5 linked regions of the Oryctolagus cuniculus genome follow. The protein of the gene in region 1 purifies or fractionates together with the protein of each later gene. This does not show direct contact. Links are inferred from orthologs where the notes say so. Each region holds a gene or a part of one and is shown on either strand. Other genes may lie near its edges.

Evidence for each region.
Region 2: the proteins of DDB2 (region 1) and CCT2 purify together in Homo sapiens (co-immunoprecipitation; 3 studies listed by BioGRID and IntAct, counting the BioPlex papers as one, with this or other methods). This does not show direct contact. The link is inferred for Oryctolagus cuniculus from reciprocal best matches to the Homo sapiens genes DDB2 and CCT2.
Region 3: the proteins of DDB2 (region 1) and COPS7A purify together in Homo sapiens (affinity purification with mass spectrometry; 5 studies listed by BioGRID and IntAct, counting the BioPlex papers as one, with this or other methods). This does not show direct contact. The link is inferred for Oryctolagus cuniculus from reciprocal best matches to the Homo sapiens genes DDB2 and COPS7A.
Region 4: the proteins of DDB2 (region 1) and CUL4B purify together in Homo sapiens (affinity purification with mass spectrometry; 11 studies listed by BioGRID and IntAct, counting the BioPlex papers as one, with this or other methods). This does not show direct contact. The link is inferred for Oryctolagus cuniculus from reciprocal best matches to the Homo sapiens genes DDB2 and CUL4B.
Region 5: the proteins of DDB2 (region 1) and COPS6 purify together in Homo sapiens (affinity purification with mass spectrometry; 8 studies listed by BioGRID and IntAct, counting the BioPlex papers as one, with this or other methods). This does not show direct contact. The link is inferred for Oryctolagus cuniculus from reciprocal best matches to the Homo sapiens genes DDB2 and COPS6.

Annotation. Positions count from the first base shown.
Region 1 is NC_091432.1:18,715,684-18,720,249, reverse strand, and holds part of DDB2 (DNA damage-binding protein 2), read left to right. Parts: intron 1-1,411; coding exon 1,412-1,557; intron 1,558-2,732; coding exon 2,733-2,832; intron 2,833-2,920; coding exon 2,921-3,098; intron 3,099-3,354; coding exon 3,355-3,497; intron 3,498-4,566.
Region 2 is NC_091442.1:72,139,105-72,143,194, reverse strand, and holds the start of CCT2 (T-complex protein 1 subunit beta), read right to left. Parts: upstream 2,801-4,090; 5' UTR 2,719-2,800; coding exon 2,716-2,718; intron 2,389-2,715; exon of another isoform or gene 2,229-2,388; intron 2,016-2,228; coding exon 1,941-2,015; intron 1,843-1,940; coding exon 1,777-1,842; intron 1,429-1,776; coding exon 1,317-1,428; intron 1-1,316. UniProt on the Homo sapiens protein: Component of the chaperonin-containing T-complex (TRiC), a molecular chaperone complex that assists the folding of actin, tubulin and other proteins upon ATP hydrolysis.
Region 3 is NC_091440.1:102,792,818-102,796,790, forward strand, and holds the start of COPS7A (COP9 signalosome complex subunit 7a), read right to left. Parts: upstream 2,801-3,973; 5' UTR 2,433-2,800; exon of another isoform or gene 2,269-2,432; intron 1,977-2,268; 5' UTR 1,935-1,976; coding exon 1,773-1,934; intron 264-1,772; coding exon 188-263; intron 1-187.
Region 4 is NC_091453.1:98,287,594-98,291,886, forward strand, and holds the start of CUL4B (cullin-4B), read right to left. Parts: upstream 2,801-4,293; 5' UTR 2,712-2,800; coding exon 2,606-2,711; intron 1,955-2,605; coding exon 1,415-1,954; intron 1-1,414.
Region 5 is NC_091450.1:42,358,141-42,362,425, reverse strand, and holds the start of COPS6 (COP9 signalosome complex subunit 6), read right to left. Parts: upstream 2,801-4,285; 5' UTR 2,743-2,800; coding exon 2,676-2,742; intron 2,467-2,675; coding exon 2,341-2,466; intron 2,150-2,340; coding exon 2,018-2,149; intron 1,769-2,017; coding exon 1,680-1,768; intron 1,580-1,679; coding exon 1,517-1,579; intron 1,227-1,516; coding exon 1,179-1,226; intron 1,094-1,178; coding exon 979-1,093; intron 895-978; coding exon 802-894; intron 722-801; coding exon 621-721; intron 528-620; coding exon 387-527; 3' UTR 1-386. UniProt on the Homo sapiens protein: Component of the COP9 signalosome complex (CSN), a complex involved in various cellular and developmental processes.

The DNA.
Region 1 (4,566 bases):
CTCTTTTTCATCTTCTTCCTCCTCCCTTTCCTTCCTGAACAGTCGAAACCAGAAGTCATTAAATGGTAGACTCAAGCAGGACCAGTATTTACATAGTGGGGAGGCCTCGGTGGTCTGGTGGCAGCCGAGACGGACATCAGTGCGGGTGGTGGCAGGTGGCAGCTCAGCAAAGATTCAGGGCTCCCAGACTGGGTGACAGGTAGAGGGAAGGTGGTGGTGGACCGGCATGGAGTAGTGGAGGCTGATCCAGCGGCGAGAACAGATTGTCTTACAAGCAGCAAGTCTTGGTAGGCTGTGAGCACTGATGCCGATGGTGTTAGAGGGATGGAACCTGTTGACGTGGTTGTTGGATAGGAGACCTTGCCCAGGTCTATGAGGCCAGGGTAGCATAAAGAGGAGTGAAGGAGCTCTGAGAGAGTGAAGTGTTTAACAAAACAGTGTGTGGGATATAATAAGTACTTACTGTGGCCCAGCCATTGGTAGTGTGGTTGTTTTCGTCTTCCTTGTCTGCAAAAGCAGGAAGGGGGACGGATCTGACTCTTGCCCTCCTTATCCTGCCGCCAGTGCGAGCTGAAGCTCTTCCAGAAAGAGCGCGTGGGAGCGGCACCCTGGCACAGCCGTGCCGCACTGCGCTGCCTCAGCAACCAGTGGCAGGGGCTCCGAGGCCGCACACTATGCACGCATTTCTTTCTTTCTTTCTTTCTTTTCTTCAGATTTTATTTTTTATTTATTTGAAAGGCAGAGTTACAGAGAGAGGGGAGACAGATCCTTCCATTTGCTGGCTCCCTCCCCAAATGGCCACGATGGCCAGGGCTGGGCCAGGTGGAAGCCAGGAGCCAGTAGCTTCTCCCAGGTGTCCACATGGGTGCAGGGGCCCAGGCACTTGGGCCATCCTCTGCCGCTTCCCTGGGCGCATTAGCAGGGAGCTGGATCAGAAATAGAGCAGCCGGGTCTCGAACCGGCGTCCAGATGGGATGCCAGTGTTGCAGGCGGAGGCTCACCGTGCTATGCCACAACACCGACCCTGGGACTTGTCTGTGATATTCTGTGCAGGCAGCTCTAGTGTTGGGGAACAGATCAGTGGGTGCCAGAGGTTTTGGGGTGAGGGGGAGAGTGTGACTACAGTGGGAAAGCAGAGCACTAGGGAGTTTTGGGGGTGATAGTGTGTTCTACATCCTGATTTTGGTGTTGGTTATTCAAATCTGTACATGGGTTAAAATTCATAGATCTGTATACCAAAAGTAGTATTTATTGTGTGTGAATTTTAAAAAGCACACTGTGGAGACAGCACCTTGGGGTCTGGGTGTCGGGACCGACTGGCGTTTGTGTCAAAGCACAGTCCACGTGCCCAGGCCTGGTTCCTCGCTTCCGGCCCCTCATCACTCACTGGCTTTTTCCTTCCTCGTGTTAGATTGGAGCTGGAGGGAGCATCACTGGGCTGAAGTTTAACCTTCTCAATACCAACCAGTTTTTCGCCTCCTCAATGGAGGGAACAACTAGGCTGCAAGACTTTACAGGCAACACCCTCCGAGTTTTTACCAGCTCAGACACCTGCAAGTGAGTAGCCGAACTAGCATGGCAAGGGCTTCCAGCTCCAGGTGTAGTCCTGGCGAGAGCATCCTGACCCCGCTTCTGTTACCTGCACCTGGCCAGGAGGAACGAGAAGGCGTTCGCCACTTTCCACCCTTCCCTCCCTTTTTCAAACTCTGGCTACTCTGACTGCCGTCCAGGTGGGCTCCTGCTTTGGGAAGGTGTTCTGGAGCCTCGGCTCTTCTCGGCTTTTCTCTAAGTCACACCTGTGTTAGGCTCGACCTTGGCTCTCACGAGACAAGTCAACGTGGTGGTGGCCCAGGGTGGAGCAGGCACTTAGGACTTCAGACGCAATTCCTTCTGTTCGTTGGCGGGTGAGGAACTCACCAGTTCCTTGGTGGAAGCTTCAGTGGATCCAGTAGTGTCCAAAAAGTGCTCCGGGCTCCCCAAGAGCAAGGGGCTGGAGGAATTAAAAATGCAGGTCCCTCCGCGTTCTAGCCAGAGACCCAAGTCTACCTGCTCCCTAAGGAGTTAGGTGAGGGGCGGGGTCTGACAGCTAGCACTGGGTTTCCTGGGCTGCCCCACAGGGACAGGTGACTGGCTAGACTCAGCTCCATGTTGGTCTTCCACAAGAAACCCTCTCGCTTAAAGATCCTGAAGGGGAACGACCAAAAGGCAGACTAGCGTGGCTCTGAGGGTTTAGGGGAACAGATGTGCATCTGGGCTGCAGGTCGTGTGTGCTTTACCCTAACTGCTCAGAAGGGGGCAGACATTTCTTTCCGGCCAGCTCTGAGTAGCACAGCGGGGCAGTTTCTGCTTGGCGTGTCTTCTCCTTTAGCCCCAAGGTGGAGAGGGAAGGCAGAGAAAGGAGACCGAGGTTCTAGCAGCTGTGGGGCCCAGCTAGCCAGGAGGCTTGCCTTAGGGCCCGAGGTCTCACTGCGTCTGGGACTCTCCCTGGCTCAGGACGCTAGGCCCGGCAGAGACTGGACACATTTTGGAGCCCCCCTCACCCTCATTCCCTCTGTTTGGCTGGTAGACAAGACTGAGTGTTCTTCCTGGGAATCCATGGTAAGACAGATACTTCATTCATTCAACAAATATTTATTGAGCGCCTGCCGCGGGTTAGGCCCAGGAGCTGCAGCAGTGAGTTAAAGGACCTGTCTCTGGCCCCAGGAATCTCACAGTACAGTCTCTCCTTCCAGCGTGTGGTTTTGCAGCCTGGACGTGTCTGCCAGAAGCCGAGTGGTGGTCACAGGAGACAACATGGGGCATGTGTTCCTGCTGAACATGGACGGTAAAGAGGTGCGTGCTCTGAGCCCTGGGCGCGCCTTCCCTCCCCTCCCCCCACCTCAGTTCTCTGTCCCCAGCTGAGCCGGGCTCTCCTCTGCAGCTCTGGAATCTCCGAATGCACAAAAAGAAAGTGACCCATGTGGCTCTGAACCCGAGCTGCGATTGGTTACTGGCCACAGCCTCCGTAGACCAAACAGTGAAAATCTGGGACCTGCGCCAGGTTAGAGGGAAAGCCAGCTTCCTCTGCTCGCTGCCACACAAGCATCCTGTCAACTCAGGTGTGAACCCCACCTGTCTCAACACTCCGGGGCCTCCTGGGAAGTTTGGAAGCTGCTAGGCCGACCCTTTCTCCCCAGTGTCTCAGATCTCCTGTGGGCTACTGAGTTTCTAGAATTCTTCTGCTCACAGCCCTGGTTCACCTCTGCCCTTTCCCCCCATCTCAGAGGTGTCAGAGGGAGGGCGCCCCCGCGAGAAGCGGCCCGACGGGGGCGGGGCTTCCGGTTTCTGCAGCTTAGGTGCTTGTCACTTCCCCAGCCTGCTTCAGTCCTGACGGAGCCCGGCTCCTGACCACGGATCAGAAGAATGAGCTCCGGATTTACTCTGCCTCCCAGTGGGACTGCCCCGTGGGCCTCATCCTGCATCCTCACCGGCACTTCCAGCACCTCACTCCCATCAAGGTGAGTGACAGAGTGACGAGAACGCGCAGAGGGAGTGGAGAGCGTGGGGACGGACCAGGTCTGCCCAAGGTGGGGAGGGGGCAGGCGTGTGAGCCTGCAGCTCCAGACCTCTTCTTGCCCCAGCAGACAGTCTCTCAGCCTTTCGGCGCTCTCTGTTCCTTTTATGCCACGTTTGCAAGTCCAGTTGGTGGGGCCGTCTTTGTCTCTCTGAGAAGCTGTCTCCCTCAGGAGTTTCAGCCCAGCCCTGACCTGTGAGCATGTGCAGAATGCTGAGCTTCTGCCCTGCCCTCTCGGTTTCAGTTACCCGTGTGTGTGGGTCCACAAACTAACCTTCACCTTCTTAGTTTGTCTTGCAGGTTTAGGTGGCTTCTAATAATAGAAATAAGTCCCTTCCTTTCCCATTTTGGATCTCCGTTTCCTCATCTGTAAAAAGGGAATAATAGTATCTAACTGATAGGGTTGTTGTGAGGATGAATCAGTGTACTTAAAGCACTTGGCACCATGCCTAGCACCGGGTGAGTACTCAGAAAATGATGACCGCTTAGTACCGCACGTACCTCAAATCATATCCAAGCACCTACTAAGGAATCCCAAGAATCCTTCCTCAGCTGGTGTTCTTGTTAATCCATCTGTCCTGATCTGCCGCCTCGTATCCAGCCAGGCCAACCCGCCGTCTGTGATTAGTGGTACCATTTCTTCCTTCCTGCTAACCACATCTTTGCTCCTTCAAAACTTCCTTGAGAAATTGTATCAGGAAAATCCCATCCAATTTGTGATTTCTGGATGAGTGGGGTAGGCTGGGCTACTGGAGTTCCTTTCCTTTTTCAGTCTTGAGTGATTTTACACACAGCTCCTGATTATCCACGCTGACGGAGGGGTGGCAGTGGGGTTACTTCAGATTTCTGTCCTAAGTAGTTCTGATTACCACAGGCCGTTCACTTTGTTGTAGGCCTACCTGTTAACGCCTAGGCCAGGTTGATGTTGAAAGCGGCAGGAAGTGCAGGAGAGAAGGCCTCAAGGTGTCCAGGGGCCAGGGAGGCCAGCGGGGGATTAGAAGTCTGCAGTTGCA
Region 2 (4,090 bases), on another chromosome or scaffold:
TATCTATGTTCCTCACCTGACAACTCTGAGATCTAAAATATTTTACTACTGCCACAGTTCAAATATATCTCCCAAAGTTCATATGTTATTTATTTTTTTAAATAAATTTATTTTTTAAGATTTATTTATTTGAAAGAAAGTTACAGACAGAGGCAGAGAGAGAAGTCTTCCATCCACGGGGGCTCATTCCATAGCAACGGCTGGAGCTGCACGGACCCAAAAACCTCCTTGGGTCTCCCACACGGGTGCAAGGGCACAAGGACTTGGGCCATCCTCTACTGCTTTCCAAGGCCATAGCAGAGAGCTAGAGGGGAAATGGAGCAGCCAGGACTTGAGCCGGTGCCCATATGGGATGCTAGCACCACAGGCACCAGCCCCATATTTATTTGAAACAGTTACACAGAGGGAGAGAGAGATCTGCCACCCACTTCCTAAATGGCCACAATGGGCAGAGGTAGGCCGACTGAAAGCCAGGAGCTTCTTCCGGGTCTCCCGTGTGTGTGGCAGGGGCCCGGATTGGAGTGGGGTAGCCAGGACTGAAACCAATGCCCATATGGGATGCCAGCACTGCAGACGGTGGCTTTACCTGCTATACTACAGTGCCGGCCCAGGTTTAGGTGTCAGAAAATTTATTCCCAGAGCCAGAGAGTTGTTCCACATCTGACCCAGCTCCCGGCTGATGTGCCTGAGAAAGCTGCAGAAGGCCCATGTACTTAGGTCCCTGTACTAAGACTCAGATGAAGCTTCTGGCTCCCCTCTGGCCCAGCCCTGATCACTGTGGCCATTTGGGGAGTGAACCAGTGGAAGGAAGATCTCTGCCTTTCAGATCAATCAATAGATCTTTAAAACAAAAAAAACTTAATTTCCAGTATAGCCATGTTGAGGTGGGACCCTTAGATTAGGTCACGAGGGCTCTGCTCTAATAAAGGGACTGCCATTATCTCAGGACTGGGTCAAGATGAAAGGATGAGTTCAGGCCCCTTTCCCCTCCAGCACAGACACACTCATCCATGTGATGCCTTCCCACCATGTTGTAACACAGCAAGAATGCCTTGCCCTTACCAAGTGTGACCCCTAAATCCTGGGCTTCTCAGCCTCCAGAACTGGGAGCCAAACAACTTTCATTGTTTGTGGATTTCCTAGTCTGCGCTATTCTCACAGCAACGCTAAAGAGACTAAGACACCTACCAATAATTATATGGTACTCCTGAACCTTTTATTAACAGTAATTTTAAGAGTGGTATAAGTCAATTAACAAGTACAGTTAAGCCTATCGAAGAAGAATAAATTAATTCAGAAATTTAACAACGACTCACCAACTAAAACTTTAGCAGCTGGATTGTCAACACCAATGTTTTTCAGAATAGTGGCACCGTCATTAGTTACCATAAGAGAGGCTTCTCGTCCACTGCTTAGAAGAATTTTGTCCTAAATAAAACATATTGGGTTCAAATTAAAATATAAATGGACCTTGAAGAGCACCCAGATCAATCAGTACTCCAAATACTGCTAACGTGTAAACACTCTGGGTGACTACTTGGCAGTATGCAAGTTTATAATGTATACTCCGCAAGCAAACCTTGGTATCTCTACCCCTAGAAGCACAGAGAGAGACAATCTGGGTTTCAGCACCCTTAAGAGCAGAAACAGTGATTGCCATTTAATATCCAATAGGACTTGGATACATTCATCTTACTTTTATAATTAAAACTTGGGATATTAAGAGGTCTAAAATAATATTAAAACTACGAAAAGAAAATTCCCTCTTTTCCTTACCATGCCCTTGGGTCCCAAGGTGCTCTTTACCAAGTCTCCAATGGCGATGGCACCAATGAAAGACGACTGGAGTAAAAAAAAAAATCAGAGATTGTGAGAATTCATTTTAGCCTTAAAGAACAACTTTACCTCTCAAACAGTAAGAACGTCAGAAAAGGGTTTACCAGACGAGCTGTCTCCGCTCTTTCTTCATCAGCTCCAGCTTTGAAGATGTTAACAGGCGCAAGGGAAAGGGACGCCTTCAGAGGAAAACCAAGAAACAATCAGTTTGAACAACAACTCTGGAACACATATATTTACATGCCTTCCACTGGATTTACAAGCAGGTATCTAAGAGAACATTCATTTACAATACGGCGATTGCAAACAAATTCAGCTTCCAAGAGAGGCGGGATCAGAAAGGTACTGTGCCGTTTTGGGTAACAAGCACGCCAGGAATAAAAATTACACACCCGAGAGGCGGACTACCGAGCAGGGCAAGACCAAAGACGATCTTAAAACAAGAACAAGGCCCGCAAAGGTTGGGGGACACGAGCCGGACGCCCGCCGGGGAGGCAGCCTCCATCTTTTACCCTCGGGCGGCTCCTTCCCCGCCGCCCCAAACCCCGCCCCGAGGGGGAGGGCGGGGCCGGCGAGGCGCTAGAAATTTCTCCGGCGAGGCTGAGGCCCACGTTTCGGGGTCCCGGGCTCGGGCTTGTGGAAAGGCCGAGTCTGACCAGACATTGGCCTTACGGAACCACTTCTCCGCCTGGCCTGCATGGACGGCTCCACTGGCTGGCCCCGCGCGGGCCACACGCGCGGCCCGCGCCATGTGCGGCGGGCCCAGGAGGCCGGCTCGGGGAGCCTGCGACGCTGGGAGGCCAGAAAGAGCAGGGGGGCGGCAAGGCATAGCGGGGCACGGCCGGGGTTGCGAAGGGACAGGAAAGAGGTCAGACTCACCATGGTTCCGAGGAACTCGGGACACGAGCGATTCCCTCACAGCCCGCGCCCGGAGCCAGCAGCGAAGAGAAGCCGGAAGTGACGCCACACGCTCTATCGCGAGGGCAGGGCCCCGGCTCTACGAGACCGGAAATGAGCCCTACGCCGTGGGGCGGGGCCTGGGCTCGCGCTCCCGCCCCCTGCGGCGCCGCCGGCTCTCGTCTGAAAGAATGGCCTGGCGGATTCGCAGAAACAAAGAATTGCCGCCCTGTTTCGGTTGCCATGCCACGGAGTTTGTGCCCGTATTTTGTCTTAAATTTAATACTTAATTTGTGTTAAAAGCACATATATACACAGCTATATACTACTAAGCAAAAAGCATTCCTCACATCCCATGCTCTTATGGTGGGCAACCTCTTCCGGCTTCCCAGTTTCTTTTATTTGTCATATTCGTGAATGATATTTTTGCTTTATTCTCTTTTATTTTAAACATTGTTGAGCATTACAGAGGGAAACTCCCTTTGCTTTTGTAGAATCTTAAAAAGCTGTTTCAAATTGGATTTACACAGTCCAGAAAGACACAGTCATTTGAACTCCCCTGTTTGCTCATTTTCAGGTTTGCATATTATATTTTTTTCTACCTTTACATGATCAGGAGGGATTACAATCAATCCCAAATAATTCTTTTATTTAAAAAACTTTTCAGGGTCAACGCTGTGGAGTAGCAGGTAAAGCCGACACCTGAAGTGCCGGCATCCCATATGGGCGCTGGTTCAAGTCCCAGCTGCTCCACTTCTGATCCAGCTCCCTGCTACGGCCTGGGAAAGCAGAAGAAGATGACCCAAGTCTGTGGGAGACCCGGAGGAGGCTCCTGGCTCCTGGCTTCCCAGTCGGCGCAATTACCTTCATTGCAGCCATCTGGGCAGTGAACCAATGGATAGAAGACTCTCTGCTTCTGCCTCTCTGTATCTCTGCCTCAAGTAAATAAATAAATCTTAAAAAACAAATTTCTATTTTATTTGGCCCCTCTAAGATGTCTAAAGCAAAACTTTGTGTTTTAAAAAAATAATTAGGGGGCTGGCGCTGTGGCGTAGTGAGTAAAGTCGCCATCTGCAGTGCCAGCATCCCATATGGGCCACGGTTGGAGTCTGGGCTGCTCTGCTTCCAAACCAGCTCTCTGCTATGGCCTGAGAAAGCAGTAGAAGATGGCCCAAATCCTTAGGCCCCTTCACCCGCATGGCAGACCCAGAAGAAACCCCTGGCTTCAGATCAGCATTGTTCTGGCTGTTGTGGCCAATTGAGGAGTGAACCAGTGGATGGAAGATTTATCTTTCTCTCTGTCTCTCCTTTTCTGTAACTCTGCCATTCAAATACATAAAATCTTTTTAAAAATTTT
Region 3 (3,973 bases), on another chromosome or scaffold:
GCCTACACTTCCTTCACCCTTGTTTTTTGTTTTGTTCTGAGTTTTTCAATCTGATTCAGGTCTTGACCCTGAAACTGTGCACCCAGGGGACCTATGTGGGGTATCCCAGGAATTTTCTCTTAAAGTGCCTCCAAAAACCGCCCTTCTTCCACTCCCATCACTGCACAGCTCCAGCCCCCCTGGTTACCTAAGTAGTCAGCGTACGTCCCATAAGCAAACACGGTGAGCAGCCGGAACGTGGAAGCAAAGTCACTTTCGGCGAGCTGCAAGGTGAGGCAAGAGACGTGGTGATGGCAAGGGCTTCCCTCGACACCCTCACTCTTTCCAGCCCCACCTTTCCTGGAAAATGTCGCCCCTCCCCCCAGCTCACCAAGAGGGGCTCTCTGATCACTCTCCTCACAGGTAGGGCTCATTTCCACCTTTGCTTGGACTATTTCCCAATGCATACACACCCTCCAGTAAACTCAAGGTTGAAAACATTCAGTGTTCCAACTGTAAGACACAGCCACCAGAAGCGGCCAGCTGTACTGTCTGGCTGTGGGCGTGTCTGCCCTTCCTGAATCTGAGCATCCCTCTGCAGTCGTCTCCGACCCCTCCGTTCACCAGAGTCCCTTGTTGACAGCTGCACACCCAACAGGCATCTGAGCTGTGGTCTCTGTCGCAGCCCTGCATCGGTGGGAGGTGGTCTTCCATCACCCAGTCCAGCCTACCCATACCTCCTCTTCTATCTGATCACTCATTTGGGCATTTAAGCCATCAATCCCTGCAGAAGGGTCTGAAATTAGAATCTCTTTCAATAGGATTCCAGACCAAGTCTGGTATCCCTCTAAGAGAAAACAGACCTCTGCGTGTGGTCAGCCCTTCAGTACATGCTTGCTGAACCAATGATTTATATGGCACTATCCATCATCTCATCTCTTCCACTGGTTCCTAAGACTCCTGTTTGGTACTGAACACCAGCAGAGGGCCACACGGGCACTCAGTGCTTCTCTGTGTTCCCCTTAACGGATACTTTTTTGGACCCACTGCAGATGAAAGTAAGGGGAAAAAAGCCCCAATTTTTTCCATATCACAGTGACCTCAAAAAGCCATATCCACTGACTCAATCACAAGCCCTCACAAACTGGCTAACAGTTTACCTACACATTGCTGTCACAGCGTCTCAGGGCATGGGTGGGGATCACACATCTTGGTGACTCATCCGCCCTGGACTTTGAACCTTGCCACTTCTGTGTGAAAGTCTCTGCTGTGTTCCAACAGTCTGCCATGTGTCTCTGGGGGGAAAAGACACCTCCTTTCTTTCCTTTCTCAGGTGCATTAGCACAGGCTGCCCAGGGAGAGTACTGTCTGCTAATTTAACCTGTTCATTCCATCTGCATCAGACCTAACACTTTCCCATGATCTTACTGGATTCCTACAGTGACCGTCGAGAAAAGTATCATCTCCATCTTTAAAAGAGGAAACCGAGGCCCTCAACGAGACGCCCCGATTGTCAGGAGGTATTACACTGGGGGGGACAGACTGGAACCCAACCTTCCTATTTGCAATGACATGCTCTTTTGCTTACAAATGTAAATACTGCATTTTCTGTTACAACGACAGACAAACTAAGACGTTTATTTGCTTATTATTTACTTTTGCAACGCGCCAGTTAATCATCACTGTGTTCTTGTTCAACAAAATGGTTTCGTGGGGTTGCGAAATGAGTCCATTCTCAAAGCCAGACTTATGCCCCATGCTTCCCTGAGGGGCTACCCAGGCCAGCAACCCACCTCTCTAACATTAGGCATATCCAGCAGTTCCCCAAATACGTAGACACCAGGGGCCTCCAACACCTGGTGGATGAGTGTGGCCAGCGCTGCCCCCTTAGCCGACTTGGCCAGCAGCAAAAACTGCTCCTGGTTCTGCCCTGTCACCTTCACCTCCGCACTCATGGCTGTACTGAGCTGGGGGACCTGGGCTCAGGATGTCTGGAGCTGCAAGGAAAGAGGACGTGAAACTGCAGGTCCCTGAGCACTGGCGGGATGGCAAAGGCGAGGGCAAGGGGCCGGACCGTAGAAGCAACAAGCCATTTCTGCAGGGAGGAATCGGAGCAGGAGCAGTGGGGAACGTGGACCCTAAAGGCAGCCGCCTCACAGGGCTGCCACGCCCACCCTCTCCCCCTGCCCCTGGGACTAACTCCCAAGGCACACCACGTGAACCCCAAGGCACAGGATGCAGCGCGGCGACGGCTGGGGTCACAGGTCATGCACCCCAACGACAACGCACCCCTCGGTTCTCCACTCGCTCCCACACGTGCCCCCAACCACGTGACCTCACCCCCACGATCCTTACACGTGGCTCCACCTCCTCCCTTAAAGAGGCCGCCCAGGGACCATGGGCTCCCGCCGACTGTCCCGTCGTACCCTGGGCCAGACTCTGCGGGCCACTACCTGGAAGCTTCGTCTTCCAGCGCACCGGGCGGGGCCGTCGTTCCGTCACCTCCGGCAGCTGTTCCAAGCCTTTCCTGCCACCTCCCTGCAGGGCCGCTCTGGCCACTGAACTCGATGGCCGGCTTCCGGCCGTACTTCCGCTCCGGCGACGCAGGTGTCGGAGGAGACGCGCCCCGCCCCGCCCCGCCGGCCGCCGAGAGCCTGCTCTTTGGATTGGTTGCCGGGGAAAGAATGACGGGAGCCTTTTTTTCTGCTCTGTTTCAATAAAACTTTATGAGTGGAAGACTGCTAGGGACTGAATACCGAGGGGACCCCTGGTCCCTGGCTGTGGTTGGCGGTCTGGGCATCCGGGCAGCGCCGCGTGGCCGGGGCGAGAGGAAAACGGTGATGGCAGGAGACAGGGAGGTGGAGGAGGAAACAGTAGGCAATCGTAGAAGCTCTGCGGCCGAGAGCACGTGGGGAGGCCAACCGCTCACCTGTTGGAGGAGCAGGAGAGATAGCAGGCATCTTTATCACTTGTGCGTGCGGACAGCTGTTCTGCACCCCGTTTGACTCCTGGACTCCCCTACCGTGATGACGTCATGTACTCAGTGATGTTTCTGGCTCACTGACTTAATTCAAGAGGCGAGAGGGAGAAAACCCTAGGTGGAAGAGAGCCGAATGTCATCTTTCCTATTTTTACATAAGTAAGTTGAGGCTCGTAAAAATCAGATTAACTTGGAATTTAGGTCTTTTTGAATTCAAAATCATCTCTCCACGTCACCTCTGACACTTTAAAAAATTTAGAGGCTGCTTGTTATATTAAGCACTGAACTATGAGCTTTACCTAATTCATTCGATTCTCACAACAATCTAGTAGTTATCTCCACTTTGCAGATGGAAAAACTGAGGACCAGCCGAGTTAAGTAACGCACAAGAAGGGGAAAGATGAGAAAGTGCAAAACCAGACAAAATCCTAGGACTGGTGGGCCGCTAGGGCTGAAGGGTTTAAATACTAGAGCTTATGGGGCTGCTGCTGTGGTGTGGTGGGCAAAGCCGCCGCCTGCAGTGCCAGCATCCCATATGCGCTCCGGTTCCAACGCCGGCTGCTCCACTTCTGATCCAGCTCTCTGCTATGGCCTGGGAAAGCAGTAGGCAATGGCCCAAGTGCAACCACCCACGCGGGAGACCCAGAAGAGGCTCCTGGCTCCTGGCTCAGATGGCTCAGATTGGCCCTGCTCAGGCCGTTGTGGTCACTGGGCGAGTGAACCAGAGGATGGAAGACTTTCCCCTCTTTCTCTGCCTCTGCCTTTCTGTAACTCTCCCTTTCAAATACATAAATAAACCTTTTTTAAAAAAATAAAGAGCTTATGGTCATTATCCCTTGGTTTGTGGTAGAAAAATGCGAAGCATAAACACAGAAGGGAGAGAGAGCAGGAAGGAGGGGGAGGGGAGGAGAAGTGAGTGGAAGAGAGAAAACGGAAGTGAGAAGGAGTCAAAGGCATAACAAAATACTACAGCTGGTTCACTCCCCAATTGGCCGCAATGTCCGGAGCTGCAGC
Region 4 (4,293 bases), on another chromosome or scaffold:
CATTTTCTAAATAGAAAGAAACACTGAAATGCTAGGCTTTTACACTTCACTGGCCATCAATGAGTGGAAAAAAACTTTTAATTAAAGCATTGAAATGCCTTAATAATGTGTTTTAATTTTTTTGGAGGAAGAAAAAAACAAAATTTCTTAAATCAATTTTCAGAAGCAATTAGGATCACAGCTCACTTCTTATAAAAATCTTGGCTATTAAGCAAAATATTTCAGCTAAATAATGAACACATTAGTCAATTACAATTCATATTCACTTCAGAAAGCAGAAAGCTTTACTCTTAAGTCAGAATATAACACTCTTCAAGAGTCTGCAAATGGGAGAGAAGTGATATAAAAAGAAAGGGTTAAAAATAAACAACACCATATCTCTCTGCTTGAAATAAAAGAGTATATTCTTTATTTTTACACTAATGTTGAAAATACAGATAGTGAACACCTAATTTTTCCGATACTAGTATTAAGCCCCAAGGCACTTATGCAGTAAATATTACTTAAGTTCATTCATTTACTTCTCCATTTAATAATCATTTTTGCACTTATTACCTGCCAGTTAAAGGTGTTGAATAAGTGAGCCAGAAAAATAGAACACATTCAACAGATACAAATTAATTCAGCTGAATACATTTTTTTTAAAACTTGATTTTGTATTAGCATCAATGCGTTCATAATACTTTCAATCACCTATCAAAGACAATATTAACAAATTTTCCTAAAAGCTTTAGGGCAATACTTTAAAACTCGTTTTAGTGATAAAAAAAATAGATGTAGTAACTGTACCTATCTTTAGACTAGTGGTACACAGAGTTACAACTTCTGTGTATACCCAGTATTTTTCAATTCTAACCCCTATCTTTGGTAAGATATGTAGAGACCATAAATATTTTCTCTGAATACTGCTTCTGCAATGAGTTTCATAAATACAGTATTCAACAATCTAAGTCCTATTTGAGCATGGAAAGATCACCATTGCTACCTGCTTTTCTGGGGACTGGATAATGTGGCCTACTGAAGCACAAAAATACAAATCCCAGCAGTGCCAAGGCTCACTATGCACCTGAAATAAACAAACCTCTTTAGAACATAAATTTCTCACCTGTAAAATCCGGATCAATCATACTGTAGATACCCAATGTTATAAGGGACAACAAATTAAATATAACAGGTTGAGGAAAACCTCAAAATACTGCACAGAAACACGGGGTGTATGCCTCAGCACAAGGTTCCTAACCACCCCCCTGGCAAATGAACCCTCCACCAAAAAAAGGACCTCCCCTCCACCTCATTAATTACGCATAAAACATTAGCTACCTCTATGCTCTTTAATATAGTAACATAAATAGAGCACGTGACCGCTGAAGTGTCAAATCTTTAGTAGGTGATTATGAATTTTGGCTTTGGTTACCTTTAAAGTTCTTGATCACTAACTTCTTAGCAGAGCCAGGCTTGCTGTTAGCAAAGCTAGAGACGGTGGTAGATTTGGCTAGGCCGTTTGCATGATGCACCGAAGCCACAGAAGAGATTAATATACTCTTATTTTTAAGTTGCTGCTGCTGAGATGTTGCAGCAGTTGGTGAAGATGAGGAGGAGGAGGAGGAGGATTCCTCAGCCATCTTCGCATCAAACCCTACAAACTCCAGGGTGTCTTCAAAACGCAGCTTCTTCTGTATCGGTACGTGGCTGGAAGTAGCCACCGAAACCCCCAGGCAGAAGGACGAGGTTGAAGGGGATGCCGAATCCCTGGGTTGTAAAGGAGGAGTGGAAGAGGAGGAAGAGGTGGAATCAAAGTCTTCTCTCTCGTTACTACTGTTACTGCCGCTACTGCTGCTGCTGTTTAACTTTCTCTTCTTGGCAGAGGTGGGCGGAGTGGTGCTGGTATTACCATCAGTGGCAGATCTGACCTCCTGAGCAGCAGCAGCAGCTGAGGGATTGGGGGAAGAAAAACCTGTTGGAAACATGAAAATAGCGGGGTCAACAGGCAGAGGAGCATCAAAAACCTACAGTTTATATGCCTGCGTGCGTGTAGGAGAAGGTGGCAATGCTAGAGGGGGAAGGGAAGAGAGGAGAAACACAGAGGACGAGCAGGAAAGTGAAGGGGGGGCTACACCGGGGAAATGGGAGGGTTTGGGAAGGCGGATAGGCTGACACCAGGAGTGAGCAGAACGAGGGGGGAGAGTGAATGAAGCGGCAGACAGGTAAACGGCCGTGCCGTCCCCCTCCCCTGCTTTTCGAGCTCTCTCCCCCCCGTTTCTGCAGGAGCGAGTCTGAGTCTGAGGCTGTAGCTCCTCCTCCTTTTCTCCCTCTCTCTGGGAGGGGAGACGCTGTGGTGGTGGGGGGGGAGGGGGAGAAGAGACCCAGGGCTTGTTATTGTCAATAGCACAAGAGGCTAAAGATGGCGCCACTTCCGGTCACGCGGCGCCGAAGGAGGGGCGGCGTCTGTCCCCGGAGTGGGGGTTGGAGAAGAGCACCGCAGCCGCCCAGGGGGGCAGGGGAGCTGGCGCACAGCGGGATGGCGGGACAGGGGCAGCTGAAGCGCCTCAGAGGCTCGCACTACTCTGCTCCGGCTCTCGCTCCCTCTTCCCTTCCCCGGCAGTACCTCCCTCCTCCGGCCCATCGGTAACTCCCATCCCTCCGTAACGGTCCCGCGGGGAGCTTTGCGCCGCGGCGTTCTTACCGGAAGTGACTGGGCAGACACTTTTCATAGCGCCCAGCTCCCGAAGCCCCCGAGTCCGCAGGACTTGAGTGGGGGGTGGGGAGGGAGCAAAGGGGGGGAAGAGAAGTGGAGAGGGAGGAGGGGGCGGGCCTTCGAAACACCTTCGGGGCTTCTGATTGGCGCTTTATGAACGCGAGGCGGGCGGCCACGGTGGGGGGTGACGGGAGAAGGAGCGGGAAGGATCCTGAAGGGGAGGGAAGGTGGTGACGGTGAGGGGCGGGGTAAGCTAGCTGGGAAAAAGGGGGAGGCGGAAGAGGAAGGGAGAGGGAGGGAAGGAGTAAAAAGTAAGGGAAGGAGAGAATGGAAACTTTGAAAGAGATAAAGGAATTAGGAGGGGTTGCCAGGCGAAGAGACTAACCCGAAATGGAAGAAAACAAATCTTGTCATTATGCCTACTGATGTTACAATATTGTTAGAAGAAAAGGAGCTTACATAGAAAAAGAATTTGATTCAGTGTAGCTATAAATTATTTATGTCAAGGACACCACAGAGCCAAAATTGAATAGAGCCAGAGTTTTGATACTTTTCTCAATAGCGTATGTGTAAGTTCTTTTACTTCTTACCAGGAGCATTTTCTAAGATGGCTGGCCAGAGCCAAGGGTGTATTCTAAGGCAAAGAAATAGGAAGGTAGCTAAGTCCTGACCCAGTGCAATTCTTGGAACCACATGCTATCCCGACTTCATCAGCCATGAATTCAGTAATTTATAGACCAAACAAAAAGCTAAGACCTACTTCCTTTGATGAAGTCTCAGCTTCTACAGTGTTTCAAAGGAGACATTTTAGGAGAACAATATTGGCAAAAGTCATGTTTTCTACTAATGTATTCCAGGAGCAAAAACTTTAAATTTGATCGCCGATCAAACAAAACTTGATGTTTGGTTAAATTAACAATAACAAACCCTGTAAGTTCCCTAAGGTAGTTTTTAACCGTAGAACACTCTCAGGGGGAGCAAACAATAATTTTTTCAACCTGTTGATCTAACTACAGAAACTTTTAATGAACATGTATCCGGAGACTTTATGTGCCAGACACTATGCCAAGTCCCTGCCATTGAGAAGCCAGTGGGGGAAGACAGAAGGGTACTACACAAAGCTCATAAAAAAAATGGGATTAAAAGATAAATTTATTTGGGCAAACAGAAAAATTTCAAAATTCATGAATGGTTTCCACATAGTATGCATTTTCCATAAATTTTTTAAGTACTCTTCTAGTTTCAAAATTAATGTCCATAAAAGTACTTTTAACAAATGTACAAAGTGCTGTGGCAAGAGGCAAAACAAGAAATTTGAAGGAACTCTGGAAAAATCAGGGAGTTTGAGAGACACATTTGTGCTGAGTCTCAAAGTGGGAGCTGCCAATAAGACAAGGAAGAGAGTGAAAGGCATTCTGGGCAGTGGAAACATGCACAAAGCAGGGAGTTGTGAAAGGGCCTGGCATGTTTATGGAAACATGGCAACTGCAGTGAGACTGGAAAACAGGATGTCTGGTTGGGACTAAGAAAGATGAGGCTCAAAAGTGCCTAGTAAACCAAGCCAAGAATTTTGGAATCTATCCTGTAGGTTATGTTAG
Region 5 (4,285 bases), on another chromosome or scaffold:
TTTATGTATGAGAAAAACTTTAATGAAGTTAATTTAAATGGGGAAAGCAGTTGCACTGAGCTCAGGTGGACCCCACAGGGTGACGTGAAAGCGCAGAGCAAAGATCGCGGGTGCTCCTGAGTCCTCCACCCAACTGGCTGTGGGGTCACTTCAGGAGGCAGTGCACTGCCAAGTGCTGACACAGATTCTGCCTCACAAAGCTGGCACAAGGGGCCTCACCTAAGGTCCCCACTGGGAAATCTGGTGCCCGACAGAGAGGACAGAGCCACTGGGAGGGGTGCTGAGGGGCTGATCCCCTTTTATTGACCACAGCGGTTCTCTAAGGGAGTGGCGCGCCCCTCCCCTTGGGACAGGCCGCTGAGCCCAGTGCATCCTTTCAAGTGGCCTCAGAAGAAGAGGCCCCGCATCCGTCTGCCAATGCCTTGTCGGTCATAGAGGACGTTGAACTTGTTCACAAACTGGTTCATGGTGTTGCAGGTTTTGGTGATGGTGCCGAGGTAGGCCATGAGCCCCACATCATTGCATTGCTGCAGGGGAACAGAAAGAACCAGTTCTCCAGGCATCCCTCTTTGCAGTCCCATCCTGTGAGCAAAACCTCCCCAGCCGGGTTTCATACTCACATCGTAAAAGTCTGTCTTGAACTTGTCTGTGCTGAGCACTGGGAGGCAGTGACACAGAGCATAGGCCTCCCGCAGGATCTCATGGTTAAAGGGGACCTCACCTACAGACAAGAAGAGACCGCATTCACATGGATGCTGTCACTTGGCCGGGGGGGAGGTGGACGCCACAGGCCTGCCCTACCTGCTTCAGAGGCCTTGACGTACTCCAGGATGAGCTTGACCCGGCTGTGCAGCATCTTGATGGCGCTGTGCTGTGCTATCAGGTGTTCAGCCACTGCAAGGGACAGGCACGGGCAGAGAGTGAGAAGGCACTTGGCCATACCTCCCACCCTCGCTTCCAAGGAATCCCCTCCATTACCGGTGGAGTTCTCTCCACTGCCTGTGGCTGTCATTCGGGCCACATGGTCAACACCAATGCGTTCAGCTTCCTCTGTGGCCAGAGTGTATGTCAGCTCAGCAAACAGCATCGTGGCCTGTGGAGCAGAGTGTCCCAGACAGTGAGAGTCAAAATCGGAAATGCGTCGAGCAGGCCCTGAGGGGTGAGGGGTCAGGCGTTACCTCTCCGTTGATTATATCAATGACAGACTCAAAAACGCTGACAGGAAGCTGTAAAGAACAGAGAACAGCTCTTAGGAACAGCAAATGACTTGAATCTCCACTAGGTGCTACACGTGGGCACCGCCTCCCATCCGATCTTCACAAGAACCCAGGGAGGTAGGGAGTATCCCCGTTTCACATGTGAAACAGCAATGTGGAGGTTAAACGCCACTCAAAGCCACGCAGCTGCTAAGGGCAGAACGGAGGTTCAACCCCAGCACTGCCCAGTTGCTAAGAAGCTGTGCTACCGGCAACAGCGGACCGACAAACAAGCACGGCACGAGGTCAGGACTACTCACGTCTGTGTGCTTGGTCATAGGGTTCAACTTCAGAAAGAGGGGGCTCTCGATGATCTCACACACCTGGAGGAGAGGGCCGGCGTGCAGGTGGACGTCCCACCCTCTTCTCCCCGCCCCCCGCCCCCCACCCGCCAGTCGCAGGTGTGAGCGTCTGTATCTGTACCTGCTTGTGGACGTGGATGTCGGAGGGGTCAGGCGGCCCCCCTGTGGTGTACCAGCCCAGAAACTCCAGCTCCTTGAATACCTGTTTAACTGGAGAGCAATCGTACTTCTTTAAACCACCCTCCCTGCCTCCGAGCTCCCCCTCCCTCCTCACCCCTGCTATTCTGACCGCTCATCCTGTACACCGTTTTAGGGAATACCGTCTTGAGATCTCTTCAGGTGAATTAACTCTTCCATTCTCGGCTTCCTCTCCTGGTTATTTCTCCCCGGTCCTGTGTTTTGTTTTGTTTTTCTTTCTTTGACCCCCCACACCTCTCCCCCACTGGCTTCCCCTCTCACACTGCTCCTCCTTGGTGTAATAATACTCCTTGTCGATGATAATCTTCTCTTCCACGGTGTGGGACAGCAGCTCAAAGGAGTTCATCACCTCAATATTCCGGCCTTCCTGCTTCCCGATCAGAGCCCCGACCACTGGGGGGAAGAGAACGGACGTGAGAGGGGACGGTAGGGAATCCCAAAACTTGATCTCCCGCTGGGGGTCTGAGGGCACGTGTGGGCCGACTGCTGCAGAAACAGTGATGGGGGAGGGGGACTGGCTTCGGCTGACGAGGCCCGGGGAGCTACCGAGGGGACGGGGTCGGAGAAGCACGCCCAACACTCACCCTGCATAGGCCGCCCCTCCTGGGAGCGCATGCGGATCCAGTGGTCGGAGATGTTCAGGATGACGAGAGGATGGAGGGCGACGGAAACACTGCCGGTCACTCCGGAGGCCATCACGCTGGGGACTACTGACGGTGCAGGGGACGGAGAGAGGGTGAGAGTCTCCGGACCCCCACGCTCTTCCCTGGAGATGGGAGTCGGGGGACGGCAGAGCCGGGGCCATACATCGCTCCCACAAGTTATCCCACCGCCCTCCTCACGTCCCCCGGGAGTCCAAGACGGCCTGCACGCACCCCTGAGTGCTGTCTCCAGAAGTCGCCCCCGCGCAGCCCGTTACCTGCTCCATCCACCTCCATCCCGCTGCTCCCTCCGGTCCCGTTCGCCGCAGCCGCCGCCGCCGCCATTTTCCCCGCGCCCGCCAGCCTCGGCCCCGCCCCCTGCCCTCCCGGCTTCCGTACGGCGAGCGGCGCATGCGCGGTGTCCCCGCGGCGCGCGTCGGGCCGCCCGGGAGCGAGCGGTCAGTTCCCTGAGTGTGGCGCGGTCTCGGTGGAGCGTGACCCCCGCGTCTCGCCTGCGGGCGACCTGGGCCGGATCAGTCCACTCCGCGCGCCCCGCCTGAATCGTTCCCGGCAGTAAAGCTGGGACAAGAATGGCTAGCGCTTAAGGGGGTTGCAGAATGAATGCAATGGCAACTTTCACAATGAAATCCAGACTGCTGACCGCAAGCCGAGAGGCCGTGTGCTCTGACCCCTGCCTGCCGGGCGGCCTGGCCCTGGCTTCCACCTTTCCAGCCTTGGGTCCCTGGGGTTCGGCCAGGACCTCGTATCTGTTTTCCGTACATACTCACTGACTGCCAGCCACAGGGCTGGGAGTCCTGTCTCTCATCCCGGTACCCCTGTGACCAACACACATGGGGGCCTTTTTTTTTTTTTTTTTTTTTTTTTTTTGAGTGAATGGATGCAGAACTTTGGGGTGGAGCCGGGATTTGGGCGGCTCCGTCTGCATATCCTATCTTTCCTCCTTCCAAATACTGGTATTAGGTGCAGCACTGGGAACAGCCCCCACCCATCCCAACCTCCCAACCTTGCCGGCTCCAGCCCACCCCAGCTCTCCCTGCTCCCCCAAGCCCGAGCCGGTTGCGGTCACCGACCGCCCCTCCTGCTGCCGCTACAGTTTGGGTCCGGCTGGCCGTTTCGGTGTCTGCATCGCCGCCCCCAAGTGTGAGCTGGTCCCAGGAGGTGTTCCGGGGAGAGTGGTGGGAAATCCAGCAGTCACCCCACTTAGGAGCCTGAACAGAGTTCCACAGTTCTCAGAGGAATGGACTTGAGACACGCTGCGGGGTGAGGGGACTTCTGGCCTACGGGAATTAACCGTTTACCTCATTCCTCGGGGCGAGTGTTTGGCTCAACAGTTAAGTTGCTGTTTGTGTCACTTGCATCATCAGAAAATGCGTGTGCAGTCCCAGCTCTGCCTCTGATCCAGCTTCCTGGAATACACTCCCTGGGAGGCAGCAGGTGATGGTTCAAGAGCACGTGGGGGGCCGGCGCTGTGGCCTAGAGGTGCCCCCACCTGCCTTCAGTGGCCGGCATCCCATACAGGTGCCGGTTCAAGTCCCGGCTGCTCCACTTCTGATCCAGCTCTCTGCTATGGCCTGGGAAAGCAGTGGAGGATGGCCCAAGTCCTTGAGACCCTGCACCGGCGTGGAGACCTGGAAGAAGCTCCTGGCTCCTGGCTTTGGATCGGCACAGCTCCAGCCAGTTTACCTCAGCTTCTTGCTCTTAAACTCAGAGGCATAGTTGCTAAGGATGGAAAATAAGCAAAAAGCCAGAAACTTACCAAAAAAAAAAGCATTTGTATTGAACATATACAGACCTTTTCTCCTTGTTATTATCCCCTAAACAATACAGTGTAACTACTTACATAGAGTTTACATTGTGCTAGTTATTA